Linked DNA regions of Notamacropus eugenii. The protein of the gene in region 3 purifies or fractionates together with the protein of the main gene of each other region. This does not show direct contact. Links are inferred from orthologs where the notes say so. Each region holds a gene or a part of one and is shown on either strand. Other genes may lie near its edges.

Region 1 (7,574 bases), on a different chromosome or scaffold from region 3:
GCTAGTGAGTGTCAAACGTACTGGGGCAGCTAGGTGGTGCAGTGGATAGAGCACCAGTGGAAGAGTCAGGAGAACCTGAGTTCAAATCTCACCTCAGATGCTTGACACTCACAGCTGTGTGACTTTGGGTAAGTCACTTATTCCCACTTGCCTCATCCTGGGTCATCTCCAGTCATCCTGATGAATATCTGGTCACTGGACTCAGATGGCTCTGGAGGAGAAGTGAGGCTGGTGACCTGCACAGCCCTCCCTCACTCAAAACAAAGTCAAGTGAAAGTCATGTCATCATTTCTCTGATTGAATGGTCTTTGGCAATGAAGGACGAACACACATAGAGGCTTCACAATCAACTTTGGACACAAATATGCAAAAATCTAACCCTAAAGAAGCCCCCTCTATTTCTTATTTTCCATGAGCTTTCAGTGGTAGTAAGGAAAAGTAAACTGGGTGAGATTAAAGAGAGATTGAACAGTTATAACGAGTTAAGTGATAAAGAGATAGAGATAGAGGCAATAGATAGAAAAACACTGTGTATGAAAGTCTGTGACTAAAGTAAAGAATATACCCAAATAAATATGAGGAAATGTGAGCACCGTGTTGCCCCATAGTAGGCACTTAATATATGTTTATTAATTGAATGGTGCAATGCAGAATGCAGTAAGGAAAGGAATTCTGCAGACAAGTTGCTGTGACAAATTTGGGGAAAGACAACTTTTATCTGGGGTGGTAGTGGGGACAGTCAGGGAAAACCTATCAGACATAATGCCTGGCACACAGTAGGTGCTTAATTAATGCAGGCTTATTAATTGATTAATTGAACTTAAAGTAAGTGAAAGGAGAATTCTGTGAATAAGGTTGGAAAAGGAGATTGAAACCTTTAATAGCTAGTTGAGGGGAACTACAGCTTTGGTGCAGTAGAAAGAGCAGTGTAATTAGAGTCTCAGGATTGGGGTTCTAATCCTGCCTCTGATACTTCTTATCAGACTTCTAATTAATTCTCTGTGTCTCTGGGGAAATTACTTAGCCTCTCTGGGCTTCACTCTCCTCATTTGTAAATTGAGAAAGTTATAGGGTATGTCCTCCCAGGCCCCTTATAATAGCTGCAATTCAAGTTTGTATTTTCTGTAGGTCACACTGAGTCAGTGTATATTTTCTTTGAGTGAAGAATGAAACTTCCAGATTTATGCATTAATAATAATACATATATGAAGATTTCTATTTTTCCTGTTCTGGCCCAGAGGGAAGAACCTGGAGGAACATTGCAAAAAGGCAAATTTATTCTTGAGGTAAGGAAACACTTCCTTCAAAACTTTCCTCTCCAAAAGAGGAATGGGCTCCCTTTGGAGAAAGCAGTCTCCCTTCACTAGAGGCCTGGAAAAAGAGACTGGTTGATGACTTATCTAGTATATTATATTGGGGACCTTGGCATTGGTGAGGATTATGAATTAGATTAATCCCTCTGAAAACTCTTCTGATTCTAAAAGATGTAAATTCTGTGACTTAAATTGACCCTCTACCTGGAAGGTCTTTTTTTATCTCTGCCAGGCCAAATCATGTTACCTTAGATCCTACTTCTTCCAAGTTGTTGAAACCATAGTGATGACTTCTCCTATTGTGTTTGCTTTATCTGAGAAGATAGAGCAGTCAATGACATCTAATGGTAAGTCAATGCATATCCTGTTTCTACAACTTGTTTGTCTCAAAGAGAGAGGAAGGTAGTGGAAAGCATGTTGGAACCAGAAGATCTATTTTCTAGTCATGGGGGCTGCCACTCCTTCTTTCATAGAGAAAATGAGGAGGTTGGGTCCCTTTTATTGCTGAAAGTAACGGAACCAGAATCACAGATTCTCAGCTTCAAAAGGGACTTCAAAGCATGACACTAAGTGACAATTATTCTTGTCCTCATTTTGTAGAGATAAGAACCCATGATTGTAGAGATAATAAGTGTTTGAGGCTAGATTCTCTTTAAGACATTTTGTAGAGAAGGTGGCAACCCACATTGGTAGAAGTTTTCTCATTTGGGAAACCCCTACAATTGAAATCACAATAGTATGAGTGTCTAATAATGCCATGGGCAGGTAGGTGGCTCAGTGGTTAGGACCCTGGGCTTGGAGGACTTATCTTCTTGAGTTCAAATCTAACTTCAGATACTCACTAAGTTGTATGACACTGAGCAAGTCAGTGTTTGCCTCAGTTTCCCCATCTGTAAAATGAACTGAGGAATGAAATGACCAACCACTCCAGTATCTTTGACAAGGAAATTTCAAAAGAGGTCCTGAAGAGTTCTGCATGCCTGAAATGACTGAACCACAACAACCAATAAGGCCTGCAGTATCTACCTATAGAGCTGTTGTGAAACTTAATGAGATAATATATGTAAGGCACTATATCAATTTGATTTGATTTATTTATTTGATTTATTGTTTGACTTGAGTTTTTACAACAACCTTTTAAGGTATATTGTGTCTATATTATTATTACCATTTATAGATAAGGAAACAGACTTCACTACAGAGGTCAGGCAAATGATCCAAGGGCACATGGCAAATGTCAAAGCAAAGATTTGAACCATACCTTGGGACCACAAGTTCAGCATTCTTTTTCTCATGGTAGACTGCCAAATAAAAGCAAGTTCTTCATAATCTGTTATTTTTTAAAAAGCTGCCTCAAGACCTTCTTGACAAAGGCTAAAACCTAGTTTGATTGGCTGGTTGTCACAAAGCCATGGCTATGATTATTCCTTCTGAGGGACCATGAACATAGGTCTTCTTCTTCCCCCTTTCTTTGGGAAGGTCTAGTTTTCTTTCAAAGAACTGAAATTCAGTCACTGTATATTCCGTTCTCCCTCACTTCCCTGAGGATTCCAAGCCCACCAGCTCTAGTGCAGACCACAGAGATTGAGGTTTTTAACAGGGGAATACATTACTTACCTCTCCTTCTCCAGAGTCCTGCAGTAACTCACCAGGAAGCTGACCCAGAACCTCTTGTTTCCTAGGGTGTTATTTAAATAGCTAAGTAGTTATGGAAAGGGGTGGATGAGACTCTTCTTCCAGTGAACATTAACTAGCATAACTGGTTATTTGTACAGAACAAACAATGACTAAGTCTGTTTGTCCATTTGTAATCTTGTTCCTTTCCATGCTCTTGCCATTCTCTCACAGTATCAGTTGGGGTGCAAGACGATTCTTCTTCTCATTATCCAAGGGAAATCTTTGACATTAAGTTTCTTGTCTTTTAAACTTATGTTCTTTGGACACAAGATCTTCCTAAAGTTCTAACATGTGTATCTAAATCCACTTTTAAGTGAATGGAGTGGGAAGATTCATATCCACTCTGGAAGAATTCCTACTTTTATTTTGCCTGTCTCCAAATCAGAAACTTCTAATGACTTCATTGGCCTTTGGAGAATGCCTCAGTAACATGTGACACTGAAAGGCTTCATAATCTGACCTCAATCTATGTAGATAGAGGTGTAGAGACACTTTCCTTTTTTTTTTTGGATAGAACAATCACTTCCCCTTCCCCATAGTCCTGTCACTGGAAAACCCACAGAAGCAAAAACATGGTTATATAAAAATATCTAACATAATAATTAGGAGTGATATCACATTTAACATTAAAGTGTAATAATTCCTCATTTTTTTTACAGAAAGAAGAGACATTTCTTTTCAAAATCAACCAGTTAGAATTAACACTGGTCATTATGTTCAGCCTGAATTCTGTTGTTTTTCTTTTATCTTTATTCACACATTTGGGGTTTAACCTATCTCTTTTGCATAATCAAAGCAAATTTTCTCTCCTAAAAGGCAGGTGGACCTACCTAAGGCAGAAATATCACCTGTAAGTAGAGTGGGACTCTGTCAACAAAACCCCATTGGGTGTGAAGGGAGGTTGCTAAGTTTAGGTTCTTATTTCTCTGAGATGCAGCCACAGATCCTGAGGTAGCTGAGATGGGCTGCTACAAAGTTTTTACTCCTGGTAACTGTCTGTCCAGGCTGCATACAAGCTCCTCATCAGAGATCTGATAATCTGGTTTTAGTCTGGAGATGGGATCACAGGGTGTTTCAGTCTTGTGTCATGAATATTAACTGAAACCTTAACAGGAACTTCAGGTCTTCAAAACTTTGAAGTGCTGTGAGGTAGAAAAAAAATAGATATTTTTTTCTGAGTAATTCCATATAGCAATTGGGGATAGTAGTGGTGAGAAATTATGAGCGCAAACTTTGCTTGAAAAGAACTTCCTAGTAGACAGAGGTGTTCCACAGTAAGTAGCTTGACAGAACTGATATCCAGAGAAATCTTGAAAGGGTAGAAAGAGGTGTCATATCTAAAGATGAAATCTAATTGATGTGAATATAAAATCTTACACTTGGGTTTTTTTAAAAAACCAATTTCAGAAAGAGAAAACAAAGAAAGATATGGCTAAAGACCATTTCTTGTGGGAAACATGGGACACCTGAGTGCGATACAAGCTTAATATGATGTAGCAGTGGAACATGAAAGCCCCTAATGGCAGTGTAAATTTAGGCTGCTTTAACAGAGGCTTAATATCCAGAACAAAGGAATTGATATTTCAATTGTTGTACCCTGCTCTGGTCAAAATTCTGGAGGATTGATCTGGGCACCACATTTTAGGAAGCTAAGAGTAAAACTGGAAAACATCCAGGTAGTCTGTCAATGAAAATATTTATTAATCTCTTCCCATGTGCCAAACACTGTCCTAATACAAAGAAAGGCAAAAGACAGTCATTGCTCTCAAGGAGTTCACAGTCAAATGGGACGAGAACTTGCAAAGAACAATGCACAAACACACTATATATGGGATAATTTGGAGGTAATTGATGGAGGAAATTTAATAGATTTGGGGGGAACTGGAAAGAGTTCCCTCTAGAAGGTGGGATTTTATTTATTTATTTATTATTTTTTAAAAATTAAATTATTTTATTTGTTTTCAGTGTTTGACAATCGCTTCCATATATCTTAGATTTTTTTTCTCCTCCCTCCCTCTCCCTTCCTGTGATGGCGTACAATCTTTTACAGGTTCTACACATACATTCCTATTAAATGCATGTTGCAAAGAAGAATTAAAATGAATGGGAGAAGCCATAAAACAAAACAAAACAAAATACAAAAGGAAATGGTCTCCTTCTATCTGTGATCCAATTTCATAGTTCTTTCTCTGGACGTGGAAGGTGTTTTTCCTCAAGAGGCCTTTGGAAATTTTTTAAGTCCTTGCATTGCAATGAAGTGCTAAGTCTTTCAGAAAAATTCCTCACACACTGTGGTTGTTGCTGTTTACAAAGTTCTTCTGGTTCTGCTCCTTTGACTCAGCATCAGATCATATAAGACCTTCCAGGCTTCTTTGAAGTCTTCCTGTTCATTGTTTCTCATAGCACAATAGTATTCCATTACATTCATGTATCATATACCATAACTTGTTCAGCCATTCTCCAATTGATGGGCATCCCCTTGATTTCCAGTTCTTGGCCACCACAAAGAGAGTTGCTATAAATGTTTTTGTACATGTGGGATCCTTCCCCATTTCTGTGATCTCTTTGGGATAGAGTTCCAGAAGTGATATTGCTGGGTCAAAGGGTATGCACATTTTTGTAACTTTTGGCATAGTTGCAAATTGCTCTCCAGAATGATTAGATCAGCTCACAGTTCTACCAACAATGAATTAGTGTTCTAACTCTCCCACATCTTCTTCAACGTTTATCATCTTCCTGATTTTCCTGTTAGCCAATCTGATAGGTGTGATGTGGTACCTCAGAGTTGTTTTGATTTGCATCTCTCTAATCAATAGTGATTTAGAGCATTTTTTTCATATGATTATAATAGCTTCTATTTCTTCTTCTGAAAACTACCTGTTCATATCCTTTGGCCATTTATCAATTGGGGAATGACTTGTATTCTTGTACATTTGACTCAGTTCTCTATATATTTTAGAAATGAGGCCTTTATCACAGACACTAGTTGCAAAAATTCTTTCCCAGTTTTCTGCTTCCTTTCTAATCTTGGTTGCATTGGGTTTGTTTGTGCAAAAACTTCAATTTAATGTAATCAAAATTATCCATTTTGCACTTCATAATGTCCTCTATCTCTTGTTGGGTCATATATTTCTCCATTCTCCATAATCTGACAAATACACTATTCTTTGCTCCCCTAATTTGTTTATAGTATCAATCTTTATACCTAGATCATGTATCCATTTGGATTTTATTCTTGTATATGGTATCAGGCATTGGTTTATGCCCAGTTTCCACCACACTGTTATCCAGTTTTCCCAGGAATTTTTGTCAAACAGTGAGTTCTTATCCCAGAAGCTGGGATCCTTGGGTTTATCAAACAGTAGATTGCTATATTCATTGACTACTGTGTCTTGAGTATCTAACCTATTCCACTCATCTACTCCTCTATTTCTTAGCCAGTACCAAGTGGTTGTGATGATTGGTCCTTTATAATACAATTTGATATCTGATAGGGCTAGGCCACAGAAGGTAGGATTTTAGCTGGTACTTGAAGGAAGTCAGGGAAGCAAGGAGGTGGAGAGGAGAAAGAGAAGCAGATTGATGAAGGCACTACAAGCCTCACCATAAGAGGAGGAGGAACGGGAGTGTCCTGTCCTGCAGATGACTTTAGAGAGAAACAGAAGCTAATTCCAGTAGTTGCTTGGGGCTCAGTGGCCATCACAGGGCAGCTATTGGACTGCAGTAGAAGAGATTCCCTTCCTTCTCTCTCCCTTCCCTCCCTCCCCCTTCATGGGATGAAAACTTTGCTTTCCAGTGTGAAGGGGAAAGGAGCAGAGGGTGAAGGAAAGCATATTATACTTATGGGCAAAGGCCTATTTTGTCAGATTATAGGTTGGGAAGCTGGAATAACTGTATTGATCCAAGGTAAATATTGACCGTAAGTTGAAATGAGAAGAAAGGATAGAGATTGTGATCCCAATGGAGAAAACCTTATTGAAGGTAGAGGATCAAGTTAGATTTCATCAGTTAAAATGTTATTAGACATGATCTGCTTTTGAAACTCTACTTTTTGCAAGAAGCCTTTTCATTTCTAGCTCTAGTGCTATTGATTGTCTCTAATTTATCCTGCATATATCTTGTTTGTACATAGCTGTTGCATGTTTTCTCTCCAATTAGACTGAGTCCCTTGATTCAGGGACTGTCTTTTTATTTTTCTTGATACTCCCAGGTCTCAGCACAGTGCCTAGTATATAGTAAGCACTTAACAAATACTTACTGACCAATTGACTCTGCTTGCTCCAAATGGTAGACCTAACAAAATCTGGTGAAAATTCCAGGGTTCAGTTTAAGAAAGTTTCTCCATTTTTGGAGGGAATTCCTATCCTAAAGCTTCATTGTGATATGTAAGGAATCTAGATTCTTGAAGGCTATGCCAAGAGAACATTAGTTCTGGCAAGTTCTACCATAATGGAAAGACTGGTGAGTTCTTTGTGTGTGGTAACTCATAAAACAAAGCAAAATATAAAGTGGCCCTCAGCTCTCTGCCTCATCCTTCCCACCCTCTTTCATTGCTACTGTGGAAATGGCTGAGGGTTGAATGGC
Region 2 (7,974 bases), about 54 Mb from region 3:
AACAGAATCCTGACCACCTCTCTTTGGAGGTGACCCAGGTCATGGCAGTGACTTCTAGACCTCTCTACCTAGGGACTATTTTATTGTTCACATGATAACTCTGCCTTTTCAATCGGAACTAAAGGTACTAGGAAGAACCAGCATAAGAAAATGGTATATTTCTGAATAGCTCAAGTCCCTCTTCTAGCTCTACTTCTACAATGTTCTCTTCATGAAGTTTTATCTTTTGTTAGGAACATGGCATTAGAGATGACACCTGGTGAAGACATCTACCTGAATAGGAGGCCATCTCCCACACTTACTCCAGAAAGTCTAAGGTTTGCACCAAACTGAATAATGATCAAGAAATCCAAAGAAAACTATTACAAGTGGTTTAGTCCACCCAGGACTATACAAGAGGTCACTGGACCTTGGGAGATATAGGAAAGGAAGCCCCTAGTAAAGCCAATGGAAGCAGAGGCATCCTCCCAGGGTGACCTGAGACAGGAGAGGGAGGGGTAAAGTCTATGAGACTGTGTCTGCAGCCAGCAAGAGCAGAGGGCTTATCTGGGAAAACCATAGGCTGGTCAGAAAGCTAAGGACTCTGCCTACTCCCCAGGGTATCCTCCAAGGTTGGAAATATTCTGGCTCCTCCCTTTCCCTTAGTTTCCCTGGATTCCTTCAACTCTGCTAAATCTCCCCTCCTTTTATAATTCCCCCAGCTGCCAAAGCCATCCATCCTCTTTCAAGCTGCCTTATTTAAACACTATTGGAGCATCAGAAGATGAGCTCCTGCACAGCAGAGGTTTTTGCCTCTTTGTAGCTCAGCACAGTACCTGGCACACAGTAAGCACACAGACTTTAGCCAAATGTTAAGTCTTGTTTTCTGACTTCCTCTAAATTTGTTGGGAATCTGAGTGCCTACTTGGGTGCACAATTGGCAACGTAGGCACTTAACTGGATCACCTGTGTACTGGTCCACAGTCCTTACACTGAAGACTGTAAATTGGGGATGAGGAGGATGGTCTTGGAGTTAAGAGAGAGCTCTAGAGTTGGTATTATTTGCAATCTATGTCTGATCATTTGTTTAACATTACAGAAAGCATTTGCAGCTGTCAAGATGCTACTTTTTAAAGGTACCAACCCACTACTAGCTAAGAATCAACCAACTGAGCCAGCTTGACATTGCTAATATCAAAGATGAAGCCCAATAACAAAATAATACAATGCTATCTGTTTATAAGTGAGAGGCAGCAGGCCTAGTAAAGAGAGAGAGCAGGCCTCCAAGCCAAGGAGCCTTGGATTCAAGTGCGTCCTACAACACCTACTTGTTAAGTGACAAGTCACTGAACCACTGAGGCATCTCTTAAAGACTCTAAGTTGAAAAGAACACGCTGACCTGCATTAGCAGAGGGAGTTCCCTACACCAAGGAAATCACAAGTCCAGTCTCCCTCCTATATTTTAAAATTAGTTCATAATTATAATTAATGTTTCTAAATCAGGAGTTATTAGCATTGAATTAAAGCAAACTCCCATATCGAGAATGGCAGGGAGAACGGCTAGGTTAATTTCACTAGGAAGGTGTGGTCAACTTCAAATGCCTCAACATGACTCAATACACCAATTGCTAATTTTTAAAAATGAAATACAAAAAAAATACACCTAATGCTAAAATTATCCTGAACCTCAATTTAATTCTTAATTATTCTGCAGGCACTTCAGAATCCCATATAGTCTTAAGGTTATCAGTATGAATTACTGACCATCATTGTATGGCATTAACAACGAATATAAAAAGTTGTAGGGAAAATAGCTGAAACTATATGGACCCTATTCCATACCCCCCCCCAAAAAAAAAAAACATATACACCCTTTCAGAAGTCTGGCAGCCAAGAATTTGTTTATTTATTTCTATTTCAGCTCCCCCTTAACCAGTTAATCTTCTAACCGCCATCAAAAGTCATCATACATTGGTCATCTCAACATGAGTCTGGAATGGGGAAATGGAGCATTAGTGTGGTGTAGGCAGAGGGTGGTCCAGAAAAGACAATCAAGAAAATAGTGACCTTATCTCCACGCTCTAGCTTCCACCCCATTTGGCTATTGGGTAGAGAGAGAAAAAATACACAGAAAAAAAGAAGAAGGGTGGGAAGGATAACGTAGTTTTTGAAAGGAGAAAAGGTTGCGAAATTTAACACCTTAAGGGAGTTGAGTTCACCCCTAGGATGGAGCCTAGGAATAAAGGAAATTCTCTTCCTTCTTCATCCCTTTATGTTGCAAGACCCCTAACTTAAGGGCTTGGAACTTCAAAAAACACACTGATCTCTCTCTTCTGAGGTCCATCTGAGCCATCAGTTGGTTATCATTACCAACTGATACACATGCAATGCCTTTAACTGGACTAGCCAGTGAACGTACCTCAGAATCATCTTTGGTAGACTTGCCACAGAGTATTAACCTCTGCTAGGCTGCTTTTTTGAACTAATTCCTACTGTCCACTTGTTTATTTAGCAGTCCTTTCTCACCAAAGCTACAGAACACCAGTGTTTGCATTCCATATGAACCAAATCACAATTATGAAAATTTAATCCTTATTTTGCATATTCTCTCAGACACAGTTCATGTGTTACTTAGTTTTGCTGAACTGTTTCCTTGTTCTTTCTTTCTAAAATCTTGTTACAAGGGAAATAAGGCTAGCTGGGTAGAGAATGGGAATGTTCAGAAATGAATGGAACACAAAAAATACGAATAAACTACAAAAAAAAAAAAAAGCCTGGCAAAGGAAGAAGCTCAACAGACATGGATTGAGGCTTTTTAAAAAACTAAGTGTGCTCACTAATAACAAATACAGCTAATCCAAGCAGAGGTAAACAGTTTACCACAATGAGTCAACAAACAGGAACCACAAACAGGTGACCTACTGGCATTCTAATGTCATACTTGTAAGAAATTACTAAAAAGCTTATTTCCCCTAAGGTCCCATGTAGTAGTGATAGCTTACAAAACTAAAATGAAGGCATTATTTTTTTCAAAAAAGGGAGTGCTAGAAATATATGTGGGTGTGTAATATATGTATGTAAAATAAATGTATTTTAAATATAGATAAAACTCTTCCAATTATTTTCTATTTATCCAGTATCATAGCTTGCTTTGTATAATTTATCTACACTCTGTCTCTTAGATCGGAAACTCCTTGAGGGTAGGGATTATCTTTTGCCTCTTCTTGTATCTCTGGGAGTTTACTGGAGTGCCTGAAACCCAGCAGGTGCTTGTAAATATTGATCGATCAGATGATTTCCTAAGATTAGGAATTTGTAAAATGTTTCTAAGGAGAAACCCAAGATGTTTCCCCCAATTTAGTAACTGATGGCCCTATCCAGCAAAGGTGCCTGTGAAAGAAAATAAGCAACGTGTTTCACTTACCAGCTACCGAGGAGTTAACACTACCTCATCAGCTTCATCACAGGTTTTGCTTTCAAATGCTCTGCAGGTGCATCCTCTGAGCACTCATTTGGGACTTGGCTTCCTCCTTCTGTGTCGTCTAATTTGGACAGTTCAGTTCACACCGGTCCCCTGGGTCTGGTACAAGGTGAGGGGTCATAACTGTGATGGAGCAGGTACTGGGTGCTGCTGGAAGTCTCGCCCCCTCCCCCCAAAGGTCACTCCCACTCCCATTCCCCCTAACTGTGACCAAGAGAGGAGATGAAGGTGAGCTGGGCCCTTGGCAAATAATGCGGCTTCAGGCTCCCCAGGGCTCAGTCAAAACTTAATTTACCTAAGGGATGGTTACTTTCCAGGAAAAGTCTTTGTACCTGAGGTGGTGAGCTTGGGACAGCTCACAAGCACAGAATTTCCCTGAGACTGGAGGGAAGGTCACAAGCCCTCTCCTTCCAAGCGAATCTGGGAGGGTGTCACAGACTTCTGGCCAGGGGACATGAAGCAGCTTGGACATCAGGGGCTCCCTGCATGCTGTGGGAGGAAATGACACTGAGATTACACAGCTGACCCCCTTTAAAGGAGCTGTGTGACCTTGGGGCCAGGCCTGGGCCGATCTGGGCCTCAGTTTCCCTTATCTGTCAAGTGACGGGCTCTAGGCTGCATTATCTCAGAGGTCCCGTCTCAGCCCTGGATCTATGCTCCTAGCAGGTCACTTTCCCTCTTTGGGCCTCAGTTTCCTCATCTGTCAAGGGAAGAAGTAAGATTAAACCCCTGCGGGGACTCTTCCACCTTTACATCCAGGACTAAGTGACTTATATAGAGGGTCAGGTTAGGAGGAGGGAGGAGGGCAAGAGGGGCAAGCTTCATGCTTTTTTATCTCTGCCCTCCTACCCCAAGCCGGGCTCCCAAGGGCAGGGGCATGCGCTGGGGGACCAAGCTTGGAAGGGTTAGAAGGCCACGAGAAATCAGAGTACGCACATGGTTAGCCCAGGAGGCAAGCCCAGGCCCTTTCCCGGCATGCACCTAAGTGTAGTTCTGGGGACATTGCATGCTGGGATATGTAGTTTCTCGCGGGGTGCTCGGCTTCGCCCCGCCCCCCTCCTCCCTCCTCTTCGGTCTCTTTGGGCACTAGCTCTTCGAACTCCTGAAATTCCTGTTTCCCGAGAAGCCACCCGCCCGAGTAGCCTGCGGCAACCGGGGCAGGGCTTACTTGGGGCTAGCCGAACTGGGAGCCTTATACGACTCTCAACGTATTCTTCGGGGGAGGAAAAGCGAAGAACGTGTTGCCATGGACACCGTTTCCCTAGTAACGGGGTAAACGCGGTCGAGGAAGGTTTAGAAGTGCTTCCGGAGCGCGACTTCACCCCAAGGAAGGGGAGAGGGAGGCTCTCCCTGAGCTCGCGCTCATTGGTCGACCTTCGTCCTCTGTCGGAGCCGCCCGAGCTAGGGGCCCGCGGAGGCCGGTGATTGGTCGGGCTCGACGTAGCTTTCGTGGGCCAATCAGGCGGAGCCACGCTTCGGCCCTCGGGCCCCTCACCTGGAGGGCTGTCATTGGTGAATCACCGCCTCCTCCCCCCCTCCGCTGCTTCCCATTGGCCGCGCGGGGTGCGTGGTGCGGCGTTATTGGCCGGTTCGTGTTTCCCGTCCCCCGCCCGCAAGGAGTGGGGGGTGAAAAGCGAGCTGCCCGGCTTGGGGGGTGGTGGGCGGATCGCGTCGCTGTCGCTGCCCTCTGTGCCGCCGCTGCCGCAACCCAGGGCGTGAGGAGCAGAACCCCGCCAGGGGAGGCGGACGGAGGACGAAGCCGTGAGCCGGAGCTTGACGCGCCGCGCCGTGCCGGAGTTGACCCACGCCGCCGCGATGAAGGGCCTATGGCTGCTGGGCCTCTGCTGCGTCCTGCTGCTGGCCTGCGGTGAGTGAGGAGGCGGCGGGGGCCGGGCCTTCGGGAAGGCTCCGCGGCTCCCCCGGGGCCTACCCCCAGTGGCCGCGCCTGGAGCGCTTTGCCTGCCGGGGCCCGGCCCGCCTGCGGCTTCCGAGGCCTTCCTCTCCTTGTCTCGGGTCCCCCGCCCCTGAAATGGGAACGACCGTGAGGAGGGAGCGCGAGCAGCCGAGGGGCCTCAGTTTACCTTCCCTGTAAAATGGGGAGGACCACGTGGAGAGAGCGGCGCCGTTTAGAGAGGCAGTGGGCCGTCCGTGCCTGCCGCCCCCCACCCAGCCTTAGTTTATTCGTAAAGATGGAGATGCTGGTCCAGAGAAAGGCCACATAGTCAGCGTATTAGGTGGCGGAGAGGCCAAAAAAAAGGGGGGGGGGGGGGACTAGGCTACCCAAATTGTGAAAAGGTCATCTCAGTGAAGTGCCTACTATGTGCCAGCCGCTGGTGGCGACCCCCCTCCCCCGGGGAAAAAACCTCACCCAGTCAGGAAACCTGCCTTCATCAAACGGTCCACCCGAGGTCGTTAAGCACCTACTATGTGCCAGGCTCTGGGCTGAGAGGGAGGAGGCACAGGGAGGAAAAAATAAGTCCCTGCTTTCGAGGGGCCCCACTGTAACCGCGTGCAAATGTCTGAACAGATAGGATATGTAATACAATGTTCTGTTGTTATTCTAGTGTTATTAGAAATCTAATATTTGAATACTATTCTAATTTACGTTATCATTCTAATATTACATGATATCTCTAGAGTCTTGTTCTGGAACGAAGGCACTGGAATTAAGGGGGGTGGGGAAATGCTTCTGGTAGAAGATAGGATTTTAAGGGGGACTTGGAGCGGGGAAAGGGGGCCAGCAAGAAAGAATCGAGATGGGGTGGAAACCTTGTCTACAGTGATGCTGAGGCACCGGAAGGATGGCTGCAGGGCCAGCCTTGGAGTCCAGGATGAAAGTCAAGTCAGCATCCCTCCCCTCGAATTCCCTCTCTAATAGGGGCTGATCTGGTACAGAGCCTTATAAAGGCAGAGCTGGGTTTGATTCTTTACTTTAGACAAGGTACAGAGGAAATAACGCTAGCTTTGTAGTCAGAGGAATGGGGTTCAAATCCATCTTGTTGACACAATCTTTAATCACATTACTTCAGTCTCCCTGAGGCTCAGTTTGCTTCTCTGTAAAATGAGGATGCTGGGCTGGATGACCCTTTGAATATGTTCCTTTCCCCTCCTTGGGTCTCCAGTTGAACTATCTGACCCCGGGGGACCTTGATCTCGGATTTCTCTGCTTGGCCTCCCTGGATCTTCTTTGTAGACCTCAGTGGCAAGAGCTGTTGTTCTGCAGTGATGGGCAGGTGCTTACAGTTAGGGCCACGAAGCAACAAGTTAAACTACCCAGCCTTGTAAAGCCCGCTGAGGGGCTTGTATCTTTGTTGTCCATTTGGGTCTCACCACCAGAACTATCTGATTTAGAGACTGGGGAAAAGCCCAGAGAAGGGATAGGACATACTTGTGGTCACAGAGATACTAAGGATTCTGGCTGGCACTTGAACCCAGGACTTTCCAAGTAGAATGCTAGCAAGTCTGTTTCTGTGGAGAAGGCATGGGGTGGAGAAGTTGGTCATCCCTTTATTCAGCCCCAATCCTTGAAACAGAAGCTGATTTTGGGGTTCAGTCCTATGTTCCCAAGGTTTCTGGGCCCCACCCCTTTCCCTACCACCCTGCATCCCCTGTTAGATAATCTGCTCCATTTGACTGGAAAGCCAGTTATCTCACACAGGAATGTCCTTTTCCCTTAGGAGCAGTGAAAGCAGAAGACCAGGTGGATGTGGAAGCCACGGTAGAAGAAGATCTGGGTAAAAGCAGAGAAGCTTCTCGGACAGATGACGAAGTCGTCCAGAGGTTGGTGGTGACCTGAAACTGTCTTGATGACTTACTACATGGGGCCAGATGTTTGTGTTCTCTAGTCTGAAAAAAGAAAAGATACCTGAAATCTTTTGTCAGGTATCTGAACAAAATTGAAATGATTCTATTCTCTACCAAAGGCACAAGCAAGTGAGGTTTCATTTTGTTTTCTTGTTTTGAATTTTACCTCTTGGCCCCCTTACAGCTGGTCCAGTAGAACTGAAGACCAGGATGAGCAACAGGTTTATAAAGCATCAGAACGAATTTGTCCAAGTATAATTAACTACTCCTTATCAGAAATTAATATCAAATGAAGAGATTTAATGTCCATGGGGTAAAAAGGGGAGTATCAGCAATAAATCAGAGAATAAGTGGTTATTGGTCCTTGCTTATTGGGTGGGTGTGGATATGTTTGTGTATGCATTTGTTTATTTATTTATTTGGAAGTGCGGGGTGGAAATATATAGAACCTAAGAATATATTTCTGCCTTAAAACCTACATATTCGCATGTGCGTTATAGTACAATACAGATAAGATTCTAGCATTGAAGTATCCTAAACAGCTGAAAGATAATTCAAGAACACTGTTGACAGCCAAATAGTGTGGTTTTAGTTTAGAAACTAGATGGAGAAAAGTGCCTATGCAAAAGAGCAGATTTCAGGGCAAAGGGGTTGTAAAAAAGGGAAAAGTTGTGTTGGTAGATTGTAAAGCTGGAGTTAATTACCCAAAT
Region 3 (7,336 bases):
TGAGGTGGGGGTGGAAAGAAAACTCAGAAGGCAAGTCACTGTCTGGGAAAAGGACCAGAAAAGGGAAAAAAAATAAGACTATAGAAGGTTACTTTCTTGGTGAACAGATATTTTCTCCCTTCCTTTCTGATGAGGAAGAACAATGCTTACCATGACGGAAAGACACAGAAGTCAAGGCTTCTGTATCCCACACATCCAAAATAAATATACCATGGGCTCAGGCCATGGAAGAGCTCAAAAAGGATTTTGAAAATCAAGTAAGAGAGGTGGAGGAAAAACTGGGAAGAGAAATGAGAGAGATGAAAGAAAAGTATGAGAAGCAGGTCAACACCTTGCTAAAGGAGACCCAAAAAAATGCTGAAGAAAATAATACCTTGAAAAATAGGCTAACTCGACTGGCAAAAGAGGTTCAAAAAGCCAATGAGGAGAAGAATGCTTTCAAAAGCAGAATTAGCCAAATGGAAAAGGAGATTCAAAAGCTCACTGAAGAAAATAGCTCTTTAAAAATTAGAATGGAGCAGATGGAAGCTAATGACTTTATGTTAAACCAAGAAATTACAAAACAAAACCAAAGGAACGAAAAAATCGAAAATAATGTGAAATATCTCATTGGAAAAACAACTGACCTGGAAAATAGATCCAGGAGAGACAATTTAAAAATTATGGGACTACCTGAAAGCCATGACCTAAAAAAGAGCCTAGACATCATTTTTCATGAAATTATCAAGGAAAACTGCCTTGAGATTTTAGAACCAGAGGGCAAAATAAGTATTCAAGGAATCCACAGATCACTGCCTGAAAGAGATCCAAAAAGAGAAACTCCTAGGAACATTGTGGCCAAATTCCAGAGTTCCCAGGTCAAGGAGAAAATATTGCAAGCAGCTAGAAAGAAACAATTCAAGTATTATGGAAATACAATCAGGATAACACAAGATCTAGTAGCTTCTACATTAAGGGATCGAAGGGCATGGAATAGGATATTCCAGAAGTCAAAGGGACTAGGACTAAAACCAAGGATCACCTACCCAGCAAAACTGAGTATAATACTTCAGGGGAAAAATTGGTCTTTCAATGAAATTGAGGACTTTCAAGCATTCTTGATGAAAAGACCAGAGCTGAAAAGAAAATTTGACTTTCAAACACAAGAATGAAGAGAAGCATGAAAAGGTAAACAGCAAAGAGAAGTCAGAAGGGACTTACTAAAGTTGAACTGTTTACATTCCTACATGAAAAGACAATATTTGTAACTCTTGAAATTTTTCAATATCTGGGTACTGGCTGGGATTACACACACACACATGCACATGCACATGCACACACACATAGAGACAGAGTGCACAGAGTGAATTGAAGAGGATGGGATCATATCTTAAAAAAATGAAATCAAGCAGTGAGAGAGAAATATATTGGGAGGAGAAAGGGAGAAATGGAATGGGGCAAATTATCTCTCATAAAAGAGGCAAGCAAAAGACTTTTTAGTGGAGGGAAAAAGAGGGGAGGTGAGAGAAAAACATGAAGTTTACTGTCATCACATTCCACTAAAGGAAGGAATAAAATGCACACTCATTTTGGTACAAAAACCTATCTTACAATACAGGAAAGTGGGGGATAAGGGGATAAGCAGTGTAGGGGGGATGATGGAAGGGAGGGCATGGGGAGGAGGGAGCAATTTGAGGTCAACACTCATGGGGAGGGACAGGATCAAAAGAGAGAATAGAAGTAATGGGGGACAGGATAGGATGGAGGGAAAGAAAATTAGTCTTATACAACACAACTATTATGGAAGTCATTTGCAAAACTACACAGATATGGCCTATATTGAATTGTTTGTCTTCCAAAGGGAAGGGGTGGGGAGGGAGGGAGGAAGAGAAGTTGGAACTCAAAGTTTTAGGAACAACTGTCGAGTACTGTTCTTGCTACTAGGAAACAAGAAATACAGGTAAAGGGGTATAGAAAGTTATTTGGCCCTACAGGACAAAAGAGAAGATGGAGACAAGGACAGAGAGGGATGATAGAAGAGAGGGCAGATTGGTGATAGGGGCAATTAGAATGCTTGGTGTTTTGGGGTGGGGGGAGAGGACAAATGGGGAGAAAATTTGGAACCCAAAATTTTGTGAAAATGAATGTTAAAAGTTAAATAAAAAAAATAATAAAAAAAATAAAAAGAAATTGTCTCTTTAGCTTGCATCTGGCCAATCACTGTCTTCAGATAATGACATAATCTTTACTACTCTACTGGCACAGGACTGCTCAGCATGGCGTGCCCACATCAGAAAGGGTGCTGTGCTCTTTGAGCAAAGCAGAATTGAGACAGCACAAAGTAAACATAAGATGCGCAAATTTGGGATATCCACCCCAAATATTCACATGGATTATCTGTGCCCAACCTGTGGTAAAGCATTCTGAGCTCATATTGGTCTGATCACCCACAGTCAGACATATTGAAATTTCACTTTATCCCAGTGATGTCATTTTGGTCCTCTTTGAAGACAGACAACAACCACCACCAACAACCAATACCACATCAGCTCAAAACCAGCTGCAAGGCCTAAAGGCAGTTAAGGCCTTGATCCTTAGTCAGAGCCTCAAGGCAGCTCCTCTAGCACAGTTATAATGGCTTGTTCTTGGGCAATATGTATCTGTTCCACCCTTGCTTCTTGAAAGCAACTTGATTATTAAAGGAGTTGATTATTAAATTTTCAGTTTGAGTACTGATACCTCAGAAATTGTCAATTGCTACAAATCAGGCCTTGATTTGTTTATTTTTGTTGATTTCTGAACTTCAAAAAGTTTTAATAATGTAGACTAACCTTAAGAGTGTTTGTGCACACATTTTTTTTACCCCTGGGAGAGCCCAGTTATGTAACATTTAATGGCACACTCCTGTATCGTTTTATAAATGTTGTTTGAACTAAGCAGGAATGCAGTAAAAGACTCAGAGAATGAAGTCATTACCAGACTAGAAGACTGGAGACTATAAATAATAATGATAATAATTATTAATTAAATTAATATATTGTATAACAATGTAATATAATATAAATATAACATATTACTATAATAATAATTTGCAGAATGTTTTATATCCATTATCTTATTTGAGCTTCACAAAACACCTGGTTCAAGGTCATCAGAATACCATGGCAACTAGGTAGGGGTATGTAAGTGATATCTGCCTGGCAGAAGATAGAAACCTTGGTCCAACAAACAAATCACCCTTGTTGTTCATCCTTCTTTTTTTGAAGAGAAGCAATGAAATCACAATGTTTTGGGTGATATCTTGACTTGCTAGTAAGAATGGATTTTAGTGAGGCACAGTTGGAAAAAGACGTCAACTTCACTCTCCCTTCCAAAACCATCAAATTCCAGTGACAGGACAAAAACCAAGATGACTGGTGATGGCCCGGATGCAATGGATGTCCATTTTAAAGACTTTGGGAGGAAAGGTGCTCCCAGGGTTACAAATTAAATAGACATTATTAATCATTATTGCTGTCAAAGGTTGCAAAGCACTCTACATCTGTTATTTTCACAACTCTGAGGCAGGTGCTATAATTATCTCCATTATGCAAATGAGGAAACTGAGGATGAGCGACCTTCCCAGGGTCGCACAGCACTTTGTAGTCATTAGGGTAACAATTAGACGTCATTCCAGTTATCCCTTCGCGTATCATTCCATCATAGTAGCACTGCAGCCAGAGGTTCATTTTGATCTTTATTAAAATGCTTATTCCCGTTTTTATGCGACACTCAGGGTCGCAGAATCCGGCCCCATTGTCCTGCCAGCAGGTGGCCGGTCCCGCTGCAGAGCGGCTGGCCAGCTCCTCTTCCTTGCCCCGCCCAGCCGCAGAGGTAACGAAGAAGGATTAGATCTGACAGCAAGTCCCGGTCAGGGGGATACCTCGGCCCCTGAGTCCTCCGTTCAGGCACGCCCCTTTTAGAGGAGAGCTGCTGACCTAGCTTCTTATTGGCTGACTCAGCGCTGACTCCAGCCAATCCACTCTCGGCAGGTAAGAGGCCTTGGAAATCTCAGAGCCGAAGCCCACCTCTTCCCACTCCCTCCCACCACCACCACCAGCCCTGCTCTCGTCCGTCAGCCGGTCTTTCTGTCTTTCTGTCCCTCCCTCCGTCCATCTTTCCGTCAGTCCTTCTCGTCTGTCCGCCAGTCCGTCGCTCTCATACATACTGTCCGACATCACGTAGACCAATAGGAGCCCGCGTCTCCATGACGGGCATAAGCGAGGACTAGTGAGATCCACAGGCGTAAGGGGGAAGGGCGAGGCGGCTGCCCGGTTCAGGGCGGAAGCGGCCGCTTTCGGGTTAGGGTCGAGGGACGAAAGATGGCGGCGACGTCGCTGCTCTTTCGGCTGCTATGGCCTCTGCTCCTGGGGCCGCTGTTGTCAGAGCTGCCGGCCTGCGTAGTCGGGAGCTTGAACCTGGAGGAGCTGAATGAGATGCGATACGGCATCGAGATCCTGCCGCGGCCTGTCATCGGGGGTCAGGTGAGCCCCGGGGGAGCAGGAGGCGGGGAGGGGGGGAGCTGGGGCCAGGGGCTGGGGTGGGGCGTCCGGGGGAGGGGGCGACAGGAGACCGAGGACCCCGAGAGACGAGGGCGAGGCGAGGGGAGGTATGGAGGAGGACCCTGAGAGGCGTCGCTCCATCCCTCTGCGGAGGAGGGCTGGCGACCTCGGACATCGTCCAGCCGCAGAGCCTCCGCTTTACAGATGGGGAAACTGAGTCCCCGAAAGGGAAAATGAGATCCTGGCTCCCCTTGTGAGTCGGAGGCGGGGGAGCAAGCCGGGCCTCCCGGTGTCGCAGAAAGAAACAAAATGCACGGAGCATTCCCCGTGCGCACGCTGACCATGCCAGCCCTTCCCTCCCATAGTTCCCATTTTCCTCTCTGACTGCTGCGTTCGTCTTCCAGGCTTGGCTCGGATTGTCATTGTTGTCAACGATCTCCGTCAGCCTCTGTCCCTCTGTTCTACCTCTGACCCCCCAAATTGTGTTCTCTCCTCTTCCAGAGCCAGTCCTCAGAGGTCGTGATTGTCTCCTCCAAGTACAAACAGCGATACGAATGCCGTCTACCAGCTGGAGCCATTCACTTCCAGCGGGAGCATGAGGAGGAGGCCCCTCCTTATAAAGGGCCTGGAGTCCCTGAGCTGCTGAACCCAATGAGAGAGGCGCCCTGCCTAGTGAAAGTGAATGGGGCTGGAGGAGGGAAAAGGAGGGCAGGACAGCAAATTAAATTAGAGTGGAAAGCCTGGAGGGTGGGCTGTTGAGGAAGAAGGGGTATAGGGACTAGGGCAGGGTGGGTATAAACAGGCCACCCAAGAGTAAAGGCAGTGATGAGGACAAAAATAACCCTATACTCGGGATAGACCCCAAGCACAACCTAATAGAATGTTGGGGGATAGAAGGAGTAATAGTATTAGAATGAGATTAGAGTGTTTGGGAGGAGGAGTTTATCGACAGAGGGAGAAGTTGAGGGGTGGGGATAAAATTAAAAGCGGAGGATCTCTAAAGAAATGTGATTGTTTCCTCTTCTCATGAAAGGCACAATGAGAGGGGAGGGCAGAAATTGCAGGTGGAGGAAGTTTAGACTGCAAGGAAGCTTTGAAGAAATACCTAGAAACAGGGAGATCAAGGGGCAGTAAGGGATCCTCTTCCATAGAGAACATAAAGGATTCCCTGCCAAGGAAGGTACAAAAGTGGACGAAAGCATCTTAAGAGCTGGACAGACTTCCCCCTCCCCCTCCTCACATCCCTACTGACTGTTAACTTTGTCATTGTTAGACCAAGGACTGGTGGACATATGAATTTTGTTATGGACGCCACATACAGCAATACCACATGGAAGGTGATTCCTCTAATTCCTTCACTCTCCCACTGCAATACTAGATGAAGGGTAACCCACCTTATTCTGACCTCTTACCTTACAGAAGAGTAACAATTCTACCCTTTGGTGTTTCTTCTAGATTCAGAGATCAAAGGTTCTGTTCTTTATCTTGGATATTACCAATCTTCCTTCAACTGGGATGATGAGACTGCCAAGGTAGTGGTGGTTGGAGAGTTGGGAGGGAAAGTAAGGATCCTGGTTGGAGTCTTGAGATCTCTGGGGAATAGGGAATGGGTCTGGGTGAGTCAAACTAGCTTCTCAGGGTTGAATGACCATTCAGTCTTAGCTCCTAGGGCCTTTTTCAAATATTTTAGCATTTTCAGGGCTGCCCCTCCTACTTTATCATATTTCCTCCCCTCCCCCCCACCTCTACATATCAGGCCTCCAAGCAACACCGTCTGAAACGCTACCATAGTCAGCACTATGGAAATGGCTCCAAGTGTGACCTGAATGGTCGGCCCAGAGAGACTGAAGTCCGGGTGAGTCTAGGGAAATGGAAGCCATCTCTTCTCATAACAAAGCACTTGAACTGTGAGGAGACAGAGTAGAATTGTCTTCTAGGGGCCAGTCCCCAAAGATTTAACTATCTGATGCTCCTTTCTCTGGCTTGTCACTCTAGTTAATTCTCTATATAATGCAGGCTTTTATTTCCCTTTTCAAATCTTCCCCTGCCACTCCCCAGTAGCAACAATAGAGTTGCCATTATTCCAATCCCTCCTGAATTAACTTGCTCTCTCTCGGTCAGTTTCTGTGTGATGAAGGTTCAGATGCTTCGGGGGATTACATTGATCGGGTAGATGAACCTCAGTCATGTTCTTATGTGCTCACTATTCGAACCCCTCGACTCTGCTCCCATCCTCTTCTTCGACCTCCTCCAAGTGCTGCCCCCCAGGCCATCCGATGTCACCCTACCTTACAGCCAGAGCAGTATGGAGCATATATCCAGGGACAAGTGTGTGAGTCTCAGGGGGACTGGGATATATTTGAAGGAGAGGAGTGGGGAGAGAGGGAATATTTTGAACACCTAGTCTCATGCTCTCCAATTAATTTCCCTTTTTATTTTTTTCCAGTAGATGCAAAGCAGAAAATTGAAGAAATCTCTGAGAAGCTTCACAACCCAGACCTTGAAATGTGGAGTGAGACACAGTTTGGGGTCCTCGATACAAAGGGAACAGGTCATATTTCCTCTCAGTTATCCTGTGAGGTGGCTCTTCTCTGCTAGTTTTAGTAGCTCCTGGGAAGGGAAGGGGGTGCCATCTATCTTGACTGCTTTGTTCCACCTGTTGAGATCCATACAGAGGAGGTGCAGGTGTAGTTCCGCATTTCCTTTTTCTCTTCAGACCTTGCTTTGTCCCATTCCTACTCCCAGGTATGACCCCACCCAAGGGTGACCCTGGAGAATCAGATATCTGGAACAAGGTCCCTCAGACTGAAGAACAG

The links.
Region 1: the proteins of OS9 (region 3) and alpha-1-antiproteinase-like purify together in Homo sapiens (affinity purification with western blotting; 4 studies listed by BioGRID). This does not show direct contact. The link is inferred for Notamacropus eugenii from reciprocal best matches to the Homo sapiens genes OS9 and SERPINA1.
Region 2: the proteins of OS9 (region 3) and HSP90B1 purify together in Homo sapiens (affinity purification with mass spectrometry; 6 studies listed by BioGRID and IntAct, with this or other methods). This does not show direct contact. The link is inferred for Notamacropus eugenii from reciprocal best matches to the Homo sapiens genes OS9 and HSP90B1.

The regions. Positions count from the first base shown.
Region 1 is NC_092872.1:364,863,243-364,870,816, reverse strand, and holds the start of alpha-1-antiproteinase-like, read right to left. Parts: upstream 3,070-7,574; 5' UTR 2,931-3,069; intron 1-2,930.
Region 2 is NC_092874.1:286,659,640-286,667,613, forward strand, and holds the start of HSP90B1 (endoplasmin), read left to right. Parts: upstream 1-4,896; 5' UTR 4,897-5,275; coding exon 5,276-5,327; intron 5,328-7,137; coding exon 7,138-7,240; intron 7,241-7,974.
Region 3 is NC_092874.1:233,054,263-233,061,598, forward strand, and holds the start of OS9 (protein OS-9), read left to right. Parts: upstream 1-4,269; 5' UTR 4,270-4,340; coding exon 4,341-4,502; intron 4,503-5,021; coding exon 5,022-5,198; intron 5,199-5,793; coding exon 5,794-5,857; intron 5,858-5,975; coding exon 5,976-6,052; intron 6,053-6,276; coding exon 6,277-6,375; intron 6,376-6,641; coding exon 6,642-6,852; intron 6,853-6,966; coding exon 6,967-7,071; intron 7,072-7,265; coding exon 7,266-7,336. UniProt on the Homo sapiens protein: Lectin component of the HRD1 complex, which functions in endoplasmic reticulum (ER) quality control and ER-associated degradation (ERAD).